Macaca mulatta: one gene and its partner. The protein of the gene in region 2 purifies or fractionates together with the protein of the main gene of each other region. This does not show direct contact. Links are inferred from orthologs where the notes say so. Each region holds a gene or a part of one and is shown on either strand. Other genes may lie near its edges.

The links. The genes of interacting proteins can lie anywhere in the genome.
Region 1: the proteins of EIF4G1 (region 2) and PDCD4 purify together in Homo sapiens (affinity purification with western blotting; 3 studies listed by BioGRID and IntAct, with this or other methods). This does not show direct contact. The link is inferred for Macaca mulatta from reciprocal best matches to the Homo sapiens genes EIF4G1 and PDCD4.

What each region holds. Positions count from the first base shown.
Region 1 is NC_133414.1:123,059,151-123,066,823, forward strand, and holds part of PDCD4 (programmed cell death protein 4), read left to right. Parts: intron 1-5,168; coding exon 5,169-5,471; intron 5,472-6,954; coding exon 6,955-7,049; intron 7,050-7,673. UniProt on the Homo sapiens protein: Inhibits translation initiation and cap-dependent translation. May excert its function by hindering the interaction between EIF4A1 and EIF4G. Inhibits the helicase activity of EIF4A. Modulates the activation of JUN kinase.
Region 2 is NC_133407.1:96,458,408-96,466,080, forward strand, and holds part of EIF4G1 (eukaryotic translation initiation factor 4 gamma 1), read left to right. Parts: intron 1-1,000; coding exon 1,001-1,113; intron 1,114-1,943; coding exon 1,944-2,036; intron 2,037-2,240; coding exon 2,241-2,307; intron 2,308-2,605; coding exon 2,606-3,421; intron 3,422-3,476; exon of another isoform or gene 3,477-3,555; intron 3,556-3,685; coding exon 3,686-3,774; intron 3,775-3,866; coding exon 3,867-4,053; intron 4,054-4,141; coding exon 4,142-4,275; intron 4,276-4,403; coding exon 4,404-4,562; intron 4,563-4,728; coding exon 4,729-4,917; intron 4,918-5,103; coding exon 5,104-5,301; intron 5,302-5,523; coding exon 5,524-5,670; intron 5,671-6,200; coding exon 6,201-6,437; intron 6,438-6,590; coding exon 6,591-6,695; intron 6,696-6,801; coding exon 6,802-6,961; intron 6,962-7,017; exon of another isoform or gene 7,018-7,093; intron 7,094-7,172; coding exon 7,173-7,273; intron 7,274-7,673.

The sequences.
Region 1 (7,673 bases), on a different chromosome or scaffold from region 2:
ATTTTTTGTAGAGAGAGAATTTCACTATGTTGCCCGGGCTGAATATCTTGAACCTTGACTATGTTGTGAGTAAGCTTCAGACCATTCCATATTTTATAAAAACATGATAGAAAAACTATCTTTAAATACTGCTTTATTCATGCTATAAGAAAACGGGCTATATTATTTTTAAAGTCAGGTTTGTGATTTTTATTTTCATGGGAATTCATTACACGTCCTATTTTTCTGCGTATCCTTTCACATTCCACACATTCCTATCCTGAATTATGTAGTACAGAACAGAGAAGAATAGTGAGCCTGCTTATTTTCACATGGGCTAGTTAGTGATTTCTATAATATTAACTTACTGGTATCTTTTGATATCTTTCTTAACGAATAATTTTTATATTCTGAATTACCTAGGGTATTTTCCCTAATTCTCCATGGTGCTTCAATAGTATGTTATTATCATAAAAATGAACAAAGTTTTGTGGACTAGATGACCAAATGTGAGTAGCTCAAGACGATTTGAAATGTATTTATAGTTTTCAAAATCATCTCCCCAAAAAGGTAATTAGAATTGTATAATATCTGAATAGTGAGAACAGTTCATATTGGTATACTTTAGATAATTCTTTGCCTTATAATTTTATTAATATTGAAAGCTGTGTATTTTCTGTCATTTTAAGTGTATTTCATTACTACATCTTTATTTCTTCAATGACAACTCACTATTGTTTACAACATACATAGTTTTCTTTGATCTGAACAAACATGTTGAATTTGAAGCTTCTTTACCATTGTTTATTTACAGATCTTTTTAAAGTGTGGTAAAAAATTGAAAAAATTTTTATGTAATTAATGATCATTTCTGTGCTGCTATGTACAGAAGCTGTATGAGTATGCTTTAGGGTTATAAATGGGTAATATATACCTACTTAATTGAGATGGGGATGGTAATAGAGTTTAAGAATATATTTTACATATAGGTAATTGCTACTTTTCTGCACTGTCCAGTATAGTAACCACTAGCTACATGTGATTATTATTACTCCTGGGCTCAAGTGATCCTCCCTCTTCAGCCTCCTCAGTAGCTGGATTACAGGTGTGTGCACCACTGCGCTTCGCCACATGTGTTTGTTGAGTACTTGAAATGTGGCTACTCTGAGTTGAGATGAAGGTCAACTATCTCAATAATTTTTTACATTGCTTGCATGTTGAGATGATATTATGGTTATATTAGATTAAATAAAATTTATTTAAATTAATTTCACCTGGTTTTACTTTTTAATGTGGTTACTGGAAAATTTAAAATTTCTTATGTGACTTGCATTCTATTTCTATTAGAAATAGAAACATAGCTTTAAAATGTATACTTTTTGTTCCTAACTATAATAAGACCTAGTTTTAACCCTGTTCTTGGTGCTTCTGTCCAGCACTGCCTTAAAATAAAAAACTTGTTCTTCAATATTTGGATAGGCGTAAGACAGACCCTCTTTGTAGTAAGTTCTTTCCATAGCAATCCAAGTCACACTCTTACTCTTTTACTTGGAGGAAGTAGGTTATTTATTCTGACCTTCAGTTTCTTAGTGTATAAAATTGGGATATAAACACCCTCTGTATAGATTTATAATTAGGATTTAGTGAGATACTGTATATGTGTGTTAAGTCTGTGAAGCACATAGTAGGTATGTAATACATGAAAATGTGGTAATATTCTAATTATGCCACTCATTGGACACCACTAATTGAAAATGTGATTTTCGGGTGCTGTGGTCATATACAATTAGAGTGGTTACTATTGAGATGTCAGAATTCAGAAAGAGGGAATTAGTACACAATAGAAAACAGTTTTGAAGTCATCACATTCTGTACTCAGGTTATCATTTTAATTTTGGTTTTCTTAAAGTCAGCTCAATAGGGGCTATGGAACTCCAACACTTAGGTTAGTATGAATAACAAAATATAAAGCAATTAATATAAACATAGGTTAAAAATTATAAGGTCAAATATATAAATTATACTGAGAGAGAATGTTTACTGCTGCAGAGACATAAACATACTTGAAAGAATATTAAAATGGTTGAAGAAAAGAAAACTTGATTATGGGAAATAGATACATTTAAATTGAATACTCCAAGGGACAGTTTAAGACATTTTATTATAGTTCTGAGTCCTGTGTCTTCTGGACTAGTTTTGTGGTTCACCTTAATAGTGCAACGATGAAAGCGCTATGTTACAGGTAGATATTTAATGTTTTTCTCAACCATCCACTCTTACATGAAAATGTCATCTAATTTATCTGATCCTGGTCTTTCTGCCCCTTCTACTTAATCATTTTTGTTTATCTCTCTTTACTTTCACTCCCTTGTCCATTTTTCTTTAGCTGTCAATACTCTGCGATATTCCAGTTTTGTATTTTCTGTAGTTATAGTCATATGGGATTAAAAATATGGGTTTGAATCCTAGCCATAATCCTTTCTAGATATGTAACTTCTTGTGAAACACATTCCTTCTGTAAAATGAGGATAAACAGTTTCTTTCTACAGCTTTTGAGGCTTACAGACCACATATGTAAAGTGCCTAGCATAGAACCTGGTATCTAATAGGTACCATGTAGTGTGGAACCTGGAATCTAATAGTTGACAATAGTAGTGGTAATGATGAAAGAAACAGTACTACGGCTGCTTCCACTAAGACTGTAATTACTGCTGATGGTTGTGATGATGTCCCAAACACACCATCCTAACACCGGCTTCTCACCAGTTCGAAAACTTTTAAGGCATTGTTCCACTTCTCTTTAATCGTAGATACATTCTGCTTAAAAGCCTTTATTATTTTCTTTAAAAGTATAACATTATTATTTTCCCACAGTTACTACCCTTGCTCTTTACCAGTTAGCTTGTGACTGAATTACTGAAACATTTTCTTAGTGGTTTCCCACTTTATACATACTCTTTTTGTAATATACTCAATATTCTTCTGCCAAATGAATCCCTCCCATCTCCTTCCTATGATATCTAACTTAAGCTCTGACAATTTTAGTGTGGGAGTAGTTAGCAGTGATTCTGGTGAGGTAAGCAAGGGCAAGATCAAGTTACAAGGTAAAGAGTTTACATTTTGCCCAGCTGCGGTGGCTCACGCCTGTAATCCCAGCACTTGGGGAGACCGAGGCGGGCGGATCACGAGGTCAGGAGATCAAGACCATCCTGGCTAACACAGTGAAACCCTGTCTCTGCTAACAACACAAAAAAATTTGCCGGGCGTGGTGGCGGGAGCCTGTAGTCCCAGCTACTTGGGAGGGAGAGGCAGGAGAATGGCGTGAACCTGGGAGGCGGAGCTTGCAGTGAGCTGAGATTGTGCCACTGCACTCCAGCCTGGGCGACAGAGCGAGACTCCGTCTCAAAAAAAAAAAAAAAGAGTTTACATGTTTTGTGACATAATGGGATTACTTTTAAAGGATCTTCAGTGAGGGCATGCATGAGAAAATCAGCCTTCATTCAGTATAGTTTGAAGACTGCAGGCAGGGAGACTACTTAGGAGACTAGTGAAAAAATTTGGCTCTAATAGATGATTTTGTTTACAATAAAACATTCCCACCTTCCTAAGTATGTCAAGAATTGTAAAGATTTAAACACATGTAGGCTTTTTATAGGTTGATGAAAATTTTTGGTTTGAATATATCTTAAAACGTTAAAGTCCATGCACATAGACCTGACATGTTATAATTATCTTTAGGCATATAGAAAATGATTTGAGTGATTCAGCTCTGATTTGAGTTAACAATAATGAACAAAACTCTGGCCCAGTGGTAGCTAATTCAGTAGCCTTTCTGACTTAAAGAGCTTTCAGGGCAAAGCCAAGTGCCTCCACTTGATCTCCATCGAATTTGAGTATGAAGGACACTCTGCTAGGTGATGGGGATACAGAGAAGGACATACAGTCTAGTTGTGGTTTCTCATTTGAAGCGTATGACTTAGTTGGAAGAAAAAGACTGTTATATAAAAAGAAAGTGCTTTCCATGACGTGTTGAATGAATAGTATGTGAGCAATTAGTGTTACTGTAGCTAGAGTTGTAAGGGAAGTTTTAATGGAGGGAGTAAGACTTGGGCTATATCCTAAAGGATTTTGATAACTGAAAATAACAATGAGGGTGACATTCTAAGTAGGGGAACCACTGGAAACTCCAGTATGTTGATCTCTTTTAGAAGAATCAATTTTATATAGGCTGGAAGATTTTCAGGATGGTAAGTAATATGAGAACAGTTTAGGGAGATGAATTAGGACTTTGAGATGATGGCTTTTCTTGAAAGCAAACTTTATCTTGAGGCAGTAAAGCACCAGCAGTTCAGCTTAACAATCATATGGATTATTTGCTAAATTCCTTTCGTTCTTTTTTGGATTACTAATAGATCTTAAGTATTTATACCTAGTTACGGGATGTTTGGCAAATCATTTAAACATTCTCAGCCTTAGTTTCCTTATCTGTCCTCAATGTTATAATAACTAACTGCCAAACTTGTGCATAAATAAATGATAGAGTGTCTAGTACAGTGCCTGATAAATAATAGTAGGCATTCTATAAATATTAGTTTGTGTCTCTTCTCAAGATGCTTTGTCTTTTCTTAATATCTCCAATTGCTTAACTCTTAGCTCATAAAAGTCTAAGGGTTTTATATTTGGTGTTGCTGTTAGCATAGATTTTATGATCTAAACACGTGAAATAACATGCTTCTTTTGGTAAACTGTTAAAATTCAGTGCCTTGGTTTACTTTCCTTGATAATGTGAAAAATAATCTTATTTAGTTGTTGTTTATTAGATTGAAGTAGATGAAATTCCCAATATGCGACTGTAATTTACCCACAAAAATGGTCGTGTCATGTGATTCAACCTAATCTAACTTACCACTATGTCTGTAAAACAGTAGATACTTAAAATACTTAGAATTTTCTTTCACCCCGTCTCTACTAAAATACAAAAAAAAAAAATTAGCCGGGCGTGGTGGCGGGCGCCTGTAGTCCCAGCCACTTGGGAGGCTGAGGCAGGAGAATGGCGTGAACCCGGGAGGCGGAGCTTGCAGTGAGCTGAGATCCGGCCACTGCACTCCAGCCTGGGCGACAGAGCGAGACTCCGTCTCAAAAAAAAAAAAAAAAAAAAAGAATTTTCTTTCTTCATTTTTCTCTTTAAGATCCTGATAATTTAAGTGACTGTCTCTTTTCTGGTGATGAAGAAAACCCTGGGACTGAGGAAATAAAGAATGAAATAAATGGAAATTGGATTTCAGCATCCTCCATTAATGAAGCTAGAATTAATGCCAAGGCAAAAAGACGACTAAGGAAAAACTCATCCCGGGACTCTGGCAGAGGCGATTCGGTCAGCGACAATGGGAGTGATGCCCTTAGAAGTGGAGTAACTGTGCCAACCAGTCCAAAGGGAAGGTTGCTGGATAGGCGATCCAGATCTGGGAAAGGAAGGGGACTACCAAAGAAAGGTTGGTATATATCATGTCCAACAAATGGAAGATAAACAAGTGGAAAAAAATTGTCTGGTTCTTGTACTACAATTTCCTTGTTCTAGGAATGAGAGAAATTAAAACAGTGATAATATAAGGCTTTACAGTTTGTATATATTTTTACTTAGTAATAAGGTGAGGACCATCTCACTTTTTCTTTAGGTTGATCTTTTTTCTTGTTTGAGTAGATTTAATTTTCTTTAGCAAAATGTTAACGGTTTATTTCCAGCAAAATATGCACTGATGTTTTTCACTGTTACGAGTTTTGCATATGTTCTTTAAGTTTGAAAGGAGTCAGAAATCCATCATACTTATTTAATTAATATAATTATGTTCATTACTACTACTAGTAAACATAAATTTGATTGATAACATCTGGATCTGAATTTTAATGTTTTCCGAGATCTGGTTGTGAGTTCTCATTAGCTCTTTATTTTGGGTTCTGTAGTGCATTGGTCTGTTTCACTGCTGTATCTCTAGTACCTGAAATAGTGACTAGCACATCATAGACAAATATTTGTTGATTAAGAGTTTTCTGATGATTTCATCATCTTTTGAATGGTGGGAACTTCAATTTATAGTGTAGGTTTCTTGTAAAATGTTTTTGTGGTGTCAAAAATTATTTTTGTTGAATGGCTCTGCAATCATGGTTTATATCAAAATGAAACCTGGTTATCAGATTCTGTTTTGGTCTGATGGCAAGGATATAGTTGGTACAAAATAAAACCCTCCAAAAACAGAAATGTTGGTGACATTGTAAAGATTCTTTAAAAAATAATGTAGTGCATTGGTCCTTAAAACATTTCAGTAAGTTGATGTAGAAAAGCAACTTCGAAAATTGGAATTGTTAAGCTTCTATTGGTTGTTTTGTATTTAGAAAATAGAATTTTCAGGGCTGTTAATGCTTAAAAGCAATTAGTATTGTTTTCTATATTTGTAATATATTGCTTAATAGTGTGGTTTAATGTGTACTTTTATATTTAAAGAGTACTGTATTTGACTTTAAAATATTTGATGGTGGTTACTGTCCTTTTTTGTCAAATAATTTTTCCCTTGTTGAGTTTTCTATGCTACGCTTTACTGGCCCAGCATGTTTCTTTTTGTCTTGGTCCCAAAGAAATGTCGAATAAAATTTAGAGCTCAGCTGCAATATCATACCCTTTGAGGTCCTCAGTATAGCTATTTTTTATCTTTATTTGTTTTTGCTTTTATTTTAAAGTATCTGCTTTTTTAGTTTTTAACTTCATAAGCTATTTGAACTTAATGTTTTCAGAAATATTGAAAGAGTGGTCTGAACAAAAAGGAAACCAATAGGGAAAGAAAACTGGAAAAAAAAGTAACATAGACATTAAATACAAATTTTTTTAGCTGTTATTTAACATCGGAACATTTAGGATTATTTTAGATTTCAACAAATTGATGAATTTTATGTTTTTTCTTTCTCAATTCTAAACTTTTTCAGGTGGTGCAGGAGGCAAAGGTGTCTGGGGTACACCTGGACAGGTGTATGATGTGGAGGAGGTAGATGTGAAAGATCCTAACTATGATGATGACCAGGTATCAGTGCTTTGCTTTTTCATAATATTTAAAATGTTTATGAACTTTTTTGACTTCATGTTTGTAGTTTACTCATACATGTGTCAAATCATATATATATATGTTTTGGATTAGGAAACCAAGTAAACTGACAGTAATATATGCATAACTTTCACTTGGTTTCCGTAGTGAGTCAAAAATAGCTCTTTACAAATTCACTTAGGATTATTAAGTTGACCATTTTTCAGTAAATTCTGTTAATATAGTTTGTTTCTATAGTAATTATAATTGAGAATATCTTCTTTTGAATATTATGAGTTAGAGATACTAGGTTGCTTTTAAATATTACCGTTTAGAATGGTAACTAATTTTGTTTTGGGGACGTGCATCTTTTAGGGATAATGCTGAAAATGTAAATTTTTAATAAGATTGTGTAGTGAATTTTTAATATTTTTTTAATGGAAATTTTAAAGTAGAATAGTATAATCTGCTTGTACTCTTCTCTTAGCTTTACAAACTTAAATAATTACAAACTCATAGGCAGTCTTGTTTCATTCCATTTACTCTCTGTCTTCTCTTGGCCTGTTTGCCCTACCCTGTTTTGGATTATTTTGAAGCAAATCCCAAACATTTTGATTATGTTTT
Region 2 (7,673 bases):
AGTGTAGTGGCACAATCTTGGCTTTCTGCAGCCTCCACCTCCCAGGTTCAAGTGATTCTCCTGCCTCAGCCTCCCGAGCAGCTGGGATTACAGGCGTGTGCCACCACACCCAGCTAATTTTTGTATTTTTAGTAGAGACGGTGTTTCATCATGTTGACCAGGCTGTTCTCGAACTCCTGGCCTCAAGTGATCCACCTGCCTTGGCCTCCCAAAGTGCTGAGATTATAGGCGTGAGCCACCACGCCTGGCCCCGTCTCAACTAAAAATACAAAAATTAGTCGGGCGTGGTGGTGCAGTCTTGTAATCCCCACTATTCGGGAGGCTGAGGCAGGAGGATCACTTGAACCTGGGACGTGGAGGTTGCAGTGAACCAGGACTGTGCCACTGTATTCCAGCCTAGGCAACAGAGTGAGACTCCATCTCAAAAAAATGCATATATATTTAAGGGGAAAAAAAGAACGCACCCCACTTTGGAGATAGTTTGCTTTAAGGAATTAATTTTTCTTCATATTGAGCCTAGCTCATAATGTTACTTTGTTTCTTTGCCCCTTTGTAAAGGGCTGGAGACAGGAACTGGACTCAAGTTAAATGGAACAGGGTTGTCAAATCTCTTTCATTCCCAGCCAAAGACCTGGTTCTGTTTCAGGTTCAGAGTATGTGTGTACACGTTGATAGCGGGTGGGGTACCTACATGAGAGTACCTTGTACAGTAGAAGGACAGACATAAGTCCTCTTGGTTGCTGGTGTGTGGTGGGTAAGGAGTGCCTGCCTATGAGATGTGTGTATGTGTGTGTGTCAGTGTTAGGAATTCTTGTAAACGCAGTTCAGACTGGTTCCCCAGCTTTGACAGACACCTGATTCCCTGGGGGAGGAGGGCAGGGCAGGGCAAGGGGCCGGCTGTGGGTGTTGAGAGGTTTTGGGGTGGGAGGTGTCAAGCAGGCATTAGGATATGGTTGGGCCCTGACGCTACCACCATTCTTCTCCGTCCCCCTCCCCCAAGCTGGCGCCTACTATCCAGCCCAAGGGGTGCAGCAGTTTCCCACTGGTGTGGCCCCCGCCCCAGTTTTGATGAACCAGCCACCCCAGATTGCTCCCAAGAGGGAACGTAAGACGGTGAGTAGCAGCGAGGGGCTCCGGGACATCTGGGAAGGGGAGAATCAAGGTCAGATGCTGCTGGGACATTGTGCCGGAAAGAACAGTGACTTGAGGAAGGAGCTGAGAGTGGGCAGAGAATGGGGTCTGTGGAAGGCTCAGGTTCTTTGTAAGATACTAAGATTTTAGCATAGAAGCAGGTCATGGGAAGACTGAAGTGGCTAGCGAGGAAGTTCCTGTGAGACCTGGGTGCTGGGAGGTTGGAAGAACTGTGCTTGCTTTTGGGCTTCTGGTGGCTTGCCTTGGAAATGGTTTGTTTTCTGTGGCCCCAGCCCCCATCCCCACCCGGCCCCCCCCACAAGTCCTGGAAGCTCTCAAGGCCTCCGCCTCTGCTCAGTCCTCAAGCCCTGGGCGTGGTGCCCAGAATAGGGTGCCAGAGCTGGGGAAGCCGCTGAGTCACCCTGGCTCCACCTACTGGATCTGGGCCCTGCCCCCAGAGATCAGGCACACTAGCCACAAGTGAGCCGATTGGGTGCTAGATGGGGGTCTTGGGCCCCAGGGTGTGCAGCCACTGGCTTGGGGACTGCTGGTGGGGTAGGGATGAGGGAGGGAGGGGCATTGTGATGTACAGGGCTGCTTTGTGAGGTCAAGGGTCTCTTAAGGGTGGGAGCTAGGGCAGGGACTACAAGAGCAGCCAGATGGGCTGAAAGTGGAACTCAAGGGGTTTCTGGCACCTACCTACCTGCTTCCCAGTGTGGGGTGGGGAGTTGGCCCAGAGTCTTAAGAGTGGGGCAGGGTGGAGAGGTGGGCTCTTCCTGCTTCCCACTCATCCCATAACTTTCTTTCCCCAGATCCGAATTCGAGATCCAAACCAAGGAGGAAAGGATATCACGGAGGAGATCATGTCTGGGGCCCGCACTGCCTCCACACCCACCCCTCCCCAGGTACTGTCTGTTTTTTGAGCGATACCCTGACTGGGATGTCTGTTCTGCCCTGGACTCCCAAGTCTCTGGATCTTTTCTTTCAACTAAGGGATTTATTTCCCTGCTTTCCTGGATTTCTAGGCAGAGCTAAAGTAGAAATGGCTCTAGTAAAGAAGGGTTGTGGGACTCTTCAGTGCAAACTTGGTAACCCTTTGTGTCCTGCAGACGGGAGGCGGTCTGGAGCCTCAAGCTAATGGGGAGACGCCCCAGGTTGCTGTCATTGTCCGGCCAGGTAAGTAAGCGGGTGGGATGGAACTTTTACGGGGAAAGGGAATGTTGACAGTTTGCTGTCACCTCAATGCTGAGGTGGTGGAGTGACTTGAACTGGGTACCAGAGAAGGATGACTTAGATTTCAGGTCGTGGGATTTTGAGGGTGAATTGGGTTTTGGATGAAAGTGGAAGTATAGCTTAGGTGGGAGATGATGACGTGGGAGTGTTAAGTTGGAAATACCTTGGCTGGAGGATGGGGAGGAACAACAGCAGTGAAGCACTTGCCTTTAGTTGCTCATTCTTCCTTCCTATGGTGCAGATGACCGGTCACAGGGAGCAATCATTGCTGACCGGCCAGGGCTGCCTGGCCCAGAGCACAGCCCTTCAGAATCCCAGCCTTCGTCACCTTCTCCGACCCCATCACCATCCCCAGTCTTGGAACCGGGGTCTGAGCCTAATCTCGCAGTCCTCTCTATTCCTGGGGACACTATGGCAACTATACAAATGTCTGTAGAAGAATCAACCCCCATCTCCCGTGAAACTGGGGAGCCATATCGCCTCTCTCCAGAACCCACTCCTCTCGCCGAACCCATACTGGAAGTAGAAGTGACACTTAGCAAACCGGTTCCAGAATCTGAATTCTCTTCCAGTCCTCTCCAGGCTTCCACTCCTCTGGCATCTCACACAGTGGAAATTCATGAGCCTAATGGCATGGTCCCATCTGAAGATCTGGAACCAGAGGTGGAGTCCAGCCCAGAGCTTGCTCTTCCACCAGCTTGCCCCTCCGAATCCCCTGTGCCCATTGCTCCAACTGCCCAACCTGAGGAACTGCTCAACGGAGCCCCCTCGCCACCAGCTGTGGACTTAAGCCCAGTCAGTGAGCCAGAGGAGCAGGCCAAGGAGGTGACAGCATCAGTGGCGCCCGCCACCATCCTCTCTGCCACTCCAGCTATGGCTCCTTCAGCTACTTCCCCCGCTCAGGAGGAGGAAATGGAAGAAGAAGAAGAAGAAGAGGAAGAAGGAGAAGCAGGAGAAGCTGAGAGTGAGAAGGGAGGAGAGGAACTGCTCCCCTCAGAGAGCACCCCTGTTCCAGCCAACTTGTCTCAGAATTTGGAGGCAGCAGCGGCCACTCAAGGTAAGGATTGGTTGGGCAGTAGAGGTAGGGTGGGCTAGGGGATGTGGTTCCTTGCCCTCCTTGATGACCTCCCGTTTTTGCCATGTTTCTGGGTCATAGAGGCCCTGCAATGGAATCTAAGAACTAGATTAAGGACTTTTAAGCCTGAAGACTGTGATGCAAAGGGGAAATATGTACTTTGGCTGCTTTTTATTTCCCAGGGATTAAGGGTACTCCTTAAATTATTGGCAAAGACCCATGCTTTTATTTATTTTTTAAAATTAGTGGCAGTATCTGTGCCAAAGAGGAGACGGAAAATTAAGGAGCTAAATAAGAAGGAGGCTGTTGGAGACCTTCTGGATGCCTTCAAGGAGGTAAGGGAGCAGAAAACGGAAGGGGAGAGGGCCAAGTTGAGGTATGGAACAGTGGTCATTGTGCAACCAAAACTGGTGTTCTGTTGTTCTAGGCAAACCCGGCAGTACCAGAGGTGGAAAATCAGCCTCCTGCAGGCAGCAATCCAGGCCCAGAGTCTGAGGGCAGTGGTGTGCCCCCACGTCCTGAGGAAGCAGATGAGACCTGGGACTCAAAGGAAGACAAAATTCACAATGCTGAGAACATCCAGCCCGGGGAACAGAAGTATGAATATAAGTCAGGTATGCTGAAGAAAGGGTTGAGAATGACTTGAGTTTTCTTATTAGGGCCAGAGAAGACAGTATGATTGCTTCATTCTCTTCCTCGCAGATCAGTGGAAGCCTCTAAATCTAGAGGAGAAAAAACGTTACGACCGTGAGTTCCTGCTTGGTTTTCAGTTCATCTTTGCCAGTATGCAGAAGCCAGAGGGATTGCCCCATATCAGTGATGTGGTGCTGGACAAGGTTAGTGGCTTGAGTCAGGGAGGGGACGATAAGTTTGTGCTGGATGGATTGGGGAGGAGCCTGAGGTCCTGAAAGAGTAGTCAACTGCTCTAGCCTGCTTCTAAGACCTTTTCCTGTCCTCTTTGCAGGCCAATAAAACACCACTGCGACCACTGGACCCCACTAGACTACAAGGCATAAATTATGGCCCAGACTTCACTCCATCCTTTGCCAACCTTGGCCGGCCAGCCCTTAGCACCCGTGGGCCCCCAAGGGGTGGGCCAGGTGGGGAGCTGCCCCGAGGGCCGGTGAGTGGGGCTGGGTAAAGGGGCAGGTGGGTAAGGAGTGGGAGTGGATGATTCCCCTGTGTCTCAGTGCTGACGGGGAGGGTTTTGCCCTGGAGGCGTGTAGTAGTGGTATCACATATTGTGCTGACTAGTTCCACGTCCCCTCTTGTCTTCATCTCTTGCTTAGCAGGCTGGCCTGGGACCCCGGCGCTCTCAGCAGGGCACCCGAAAAGAACCACGCAAGATCATTGCCACAGTGTTAATGACCGAAGATATAAAACTGAACAAAGCAGAGAAAGCCTGGAAACCCAGCAGCAAGCGGACGGCAGCTGATAAGGACCGAGGGGAAGAGGATGCTGATGGCAGCAAAACCCAGGTACTGGCGAGTCCTGCTTTTGGTCTCTCTCCATTTCTTTTCCATGTCTGCTGTCAGTGCCCTCTTTGCTGCTTTTTGTCCTTATCAGTAGCATCTGTCATGCCTAAGTCCCCACCACTCTCTCCTGTCCCTCTGAACAGCCTGTTCTGAGACCCTCACTGGAACTCTTGTCTCCTCTTCCTCCAGGACCTATTCCGCAGGGTGCGCTCCATCCTGAATAAGCTGACACCCCAGATGTTCCAGCAGCTGATGAAGCAAGTGACGCAGCTGGCCATTGACACCGAGGAACGCCTCAAAGGGGTCATTGACCTCATTTTTGAGAAGGCCATTTCAGAGCCCAACTTCTCTGTGGCCTATGCCAACATGTGCCGCTGCCTCATGGCGGTTAGTTTCCACTGGGTTCTAAATCTTATGGTCTAGTTGCCCATTTCTATTCCCAAGACTCCTTGAGTCCAGCTTCTTGGTTCTCCTCCAACTTGCACCTCTTCCAGCTGGAAGGAGGCACAGCTGGGGCCAGATATCTTCCTGGGTCAGGTAGTTAAAGGCTCTTGGAGGGCCTTCCCTGCCCAGTACTAGTCTGAGTGTGACATTCTCTCCGACCTGCAGCTGAAAGTGCCCACTACGGAAAAGCCAACAGTGACTGTAAACTTCCGAAAGCTGTTGTTGAATCGATGTCAGAAGGAGTTTGAGAAAGACAAAGATGATGATGAGGTTTTTGAGAAGAAGCAAAAAGAGATGGATGAAGCTGCTACGGTGAGAGAAAACCCACTACCGATTCCACTCCCCACTTAGCTCCTTCCCTCACCCAGATTCTACTCAACTGTAGAATTTGGAATGGAAATAGTGGTGTCTTGGGGATTTCTCTGGCTCAGAACTTTTTTTTTTCCTTTTTGAGACAGAGTCTCGCTCTGTCACCGAGGCTGGAGTGCAGTGGCGTGATCTTGGCTAGCCTCCACCTCCCGAGTTCAAGCGATTCTCCTGCCTCAGCCTCCCAAGTAGCTGGGATTACAGGCATGTGCCACCATACCTGGCTAATTTTTTTGCATTTTTAGTAGAGACGGGGTTTTACCATGTTGGCCAAGCTGGTCTCAAACTCCTGACCTCAAGTGATCTGTCTGCCTCGGTCTCCCAAAGTGGTGGGATTACAGGCATGAGCCACTATGCCCAGCCAGCCTGCCTCAGGACTGAGTGCTTATTGCTAAGTTTGGATATCCAGGTAGAAAAGGGTTTTAGCAGAGTGGCTGGCTATCTTTTTGACACAATCCCTGTCATGTGAATGGCAGGCAGAGGAACGAGGACGCCTTAAGGAAGAGCTGGAAGAGGCTCGGGACATAGCCCGGCGGCGCTCTTTAGGGAATATCAAGTTTATTGGGGAGTTGTTCAAGCTGAAGATGTTAACAGAGGCAATAATGCATGACTGTGTGGTCAAACTGCTTAAGAACCATGATGAAGAGTCCCTTGAGTGCCTTTGTCGTCTGCTTACCACCATTGGCAAAGACCTGGACTTTGAAAAAGCCAAGGTAGAGGTTCTTGCATCTGGAGGGGGATGGGCTGAAGCATGCGGGGCTCACTGAGCCACAGGGACGGGGCGGAAGGCCTGAGGGGAGGGGTGGGGCCTGCAGTTATAGGTGAGACATGAGAAGTTCCTGGTCTGATGCCTTTCTCCTCCATAGCCCCGAATGGATCAGTATTTCAACCAGATGGAAAAAATCATCAAAGAAAAGAAGACGTCATCCCGCATCCGCTTTATGCTGCAGGACGTGCTGGATCTGCGAGGGGTGTGTGTCCCCCTCCTCCCCACTGCCAGCCTGCTGCCTCCAGTTTCTGACACTGTCTTGTCTGGCCTTCCCTGACATCATCGTGACTGGCCTTCTGTCTCCACAGAGCAATTGGGTGCCACGCCGAGGGGATCAGGGTCCCAAGACCATTGACCAGATCCATAAGGAGGCTGAGATGGAAGAACATCGAGAGCACATCAAAGTGCAGCAGCTCATGGCCAAGGGCAGTGACAAGCGTCGGGGTGGCCCTCCAGGCCCGCCCATCAGTGAGTTCCAGGCTGGGATTGAGAAGGGAGCAGTGAAGAGACTGGGAGGTTATACTTTCCTCTGATGACTTCCTGTTAGTGCCACGTGTCTGGGCCACTGAGACCCCATGATGGAACTGAGGATCTGAGGAAGGGAGGCTGGGGGTGGCCCAAGGGGAAGGGGCTGCTAAGGTTTATTCATTATTCCAGTATGCCCCTCTTTTTGTGTCAGGCCGTGGACTTCCACTTGTGGATGATGGTGGCTGGAACACAGTTCCCATCAGCAAAGGTAGCCGCCCCATTGACACCTCACGACTCACCAAGATCACCAAGGTAGGGGTGTGTGTGGGAGTGGGTGATTCAACTCAGGTTTAGATCTTCGTCCCCTCACTTTTCTTTTTTTTTTTTTTTTTTTTTGAGACGGAGTCTTGCTCTGTCGCCCAGGCTGGAGTGCAGTGGCCGGATCTCGGCTCACTGCAAGCTCTGCCTCCCGGGTTCACGCCATTCTCCTGCCTCAGCCTCCTGAGTAGCTGGGACTACAGGCGCCCGCCACCTCGCCCGGCTAGTTTTTTGTATTTTTTAGTAGAGATGGGGTTTCACCGTGTTAGCCAGGATGGTCTCCATCTCCTGACCTCGTGATCCACCCGTCTCGGCCTCCCAAAGTGCTGGGATTACAGGCTTGAGCCACCACGCCCGGCCGTCCCCTCACTTTTCTAAGGTTGAGAAGGTGACA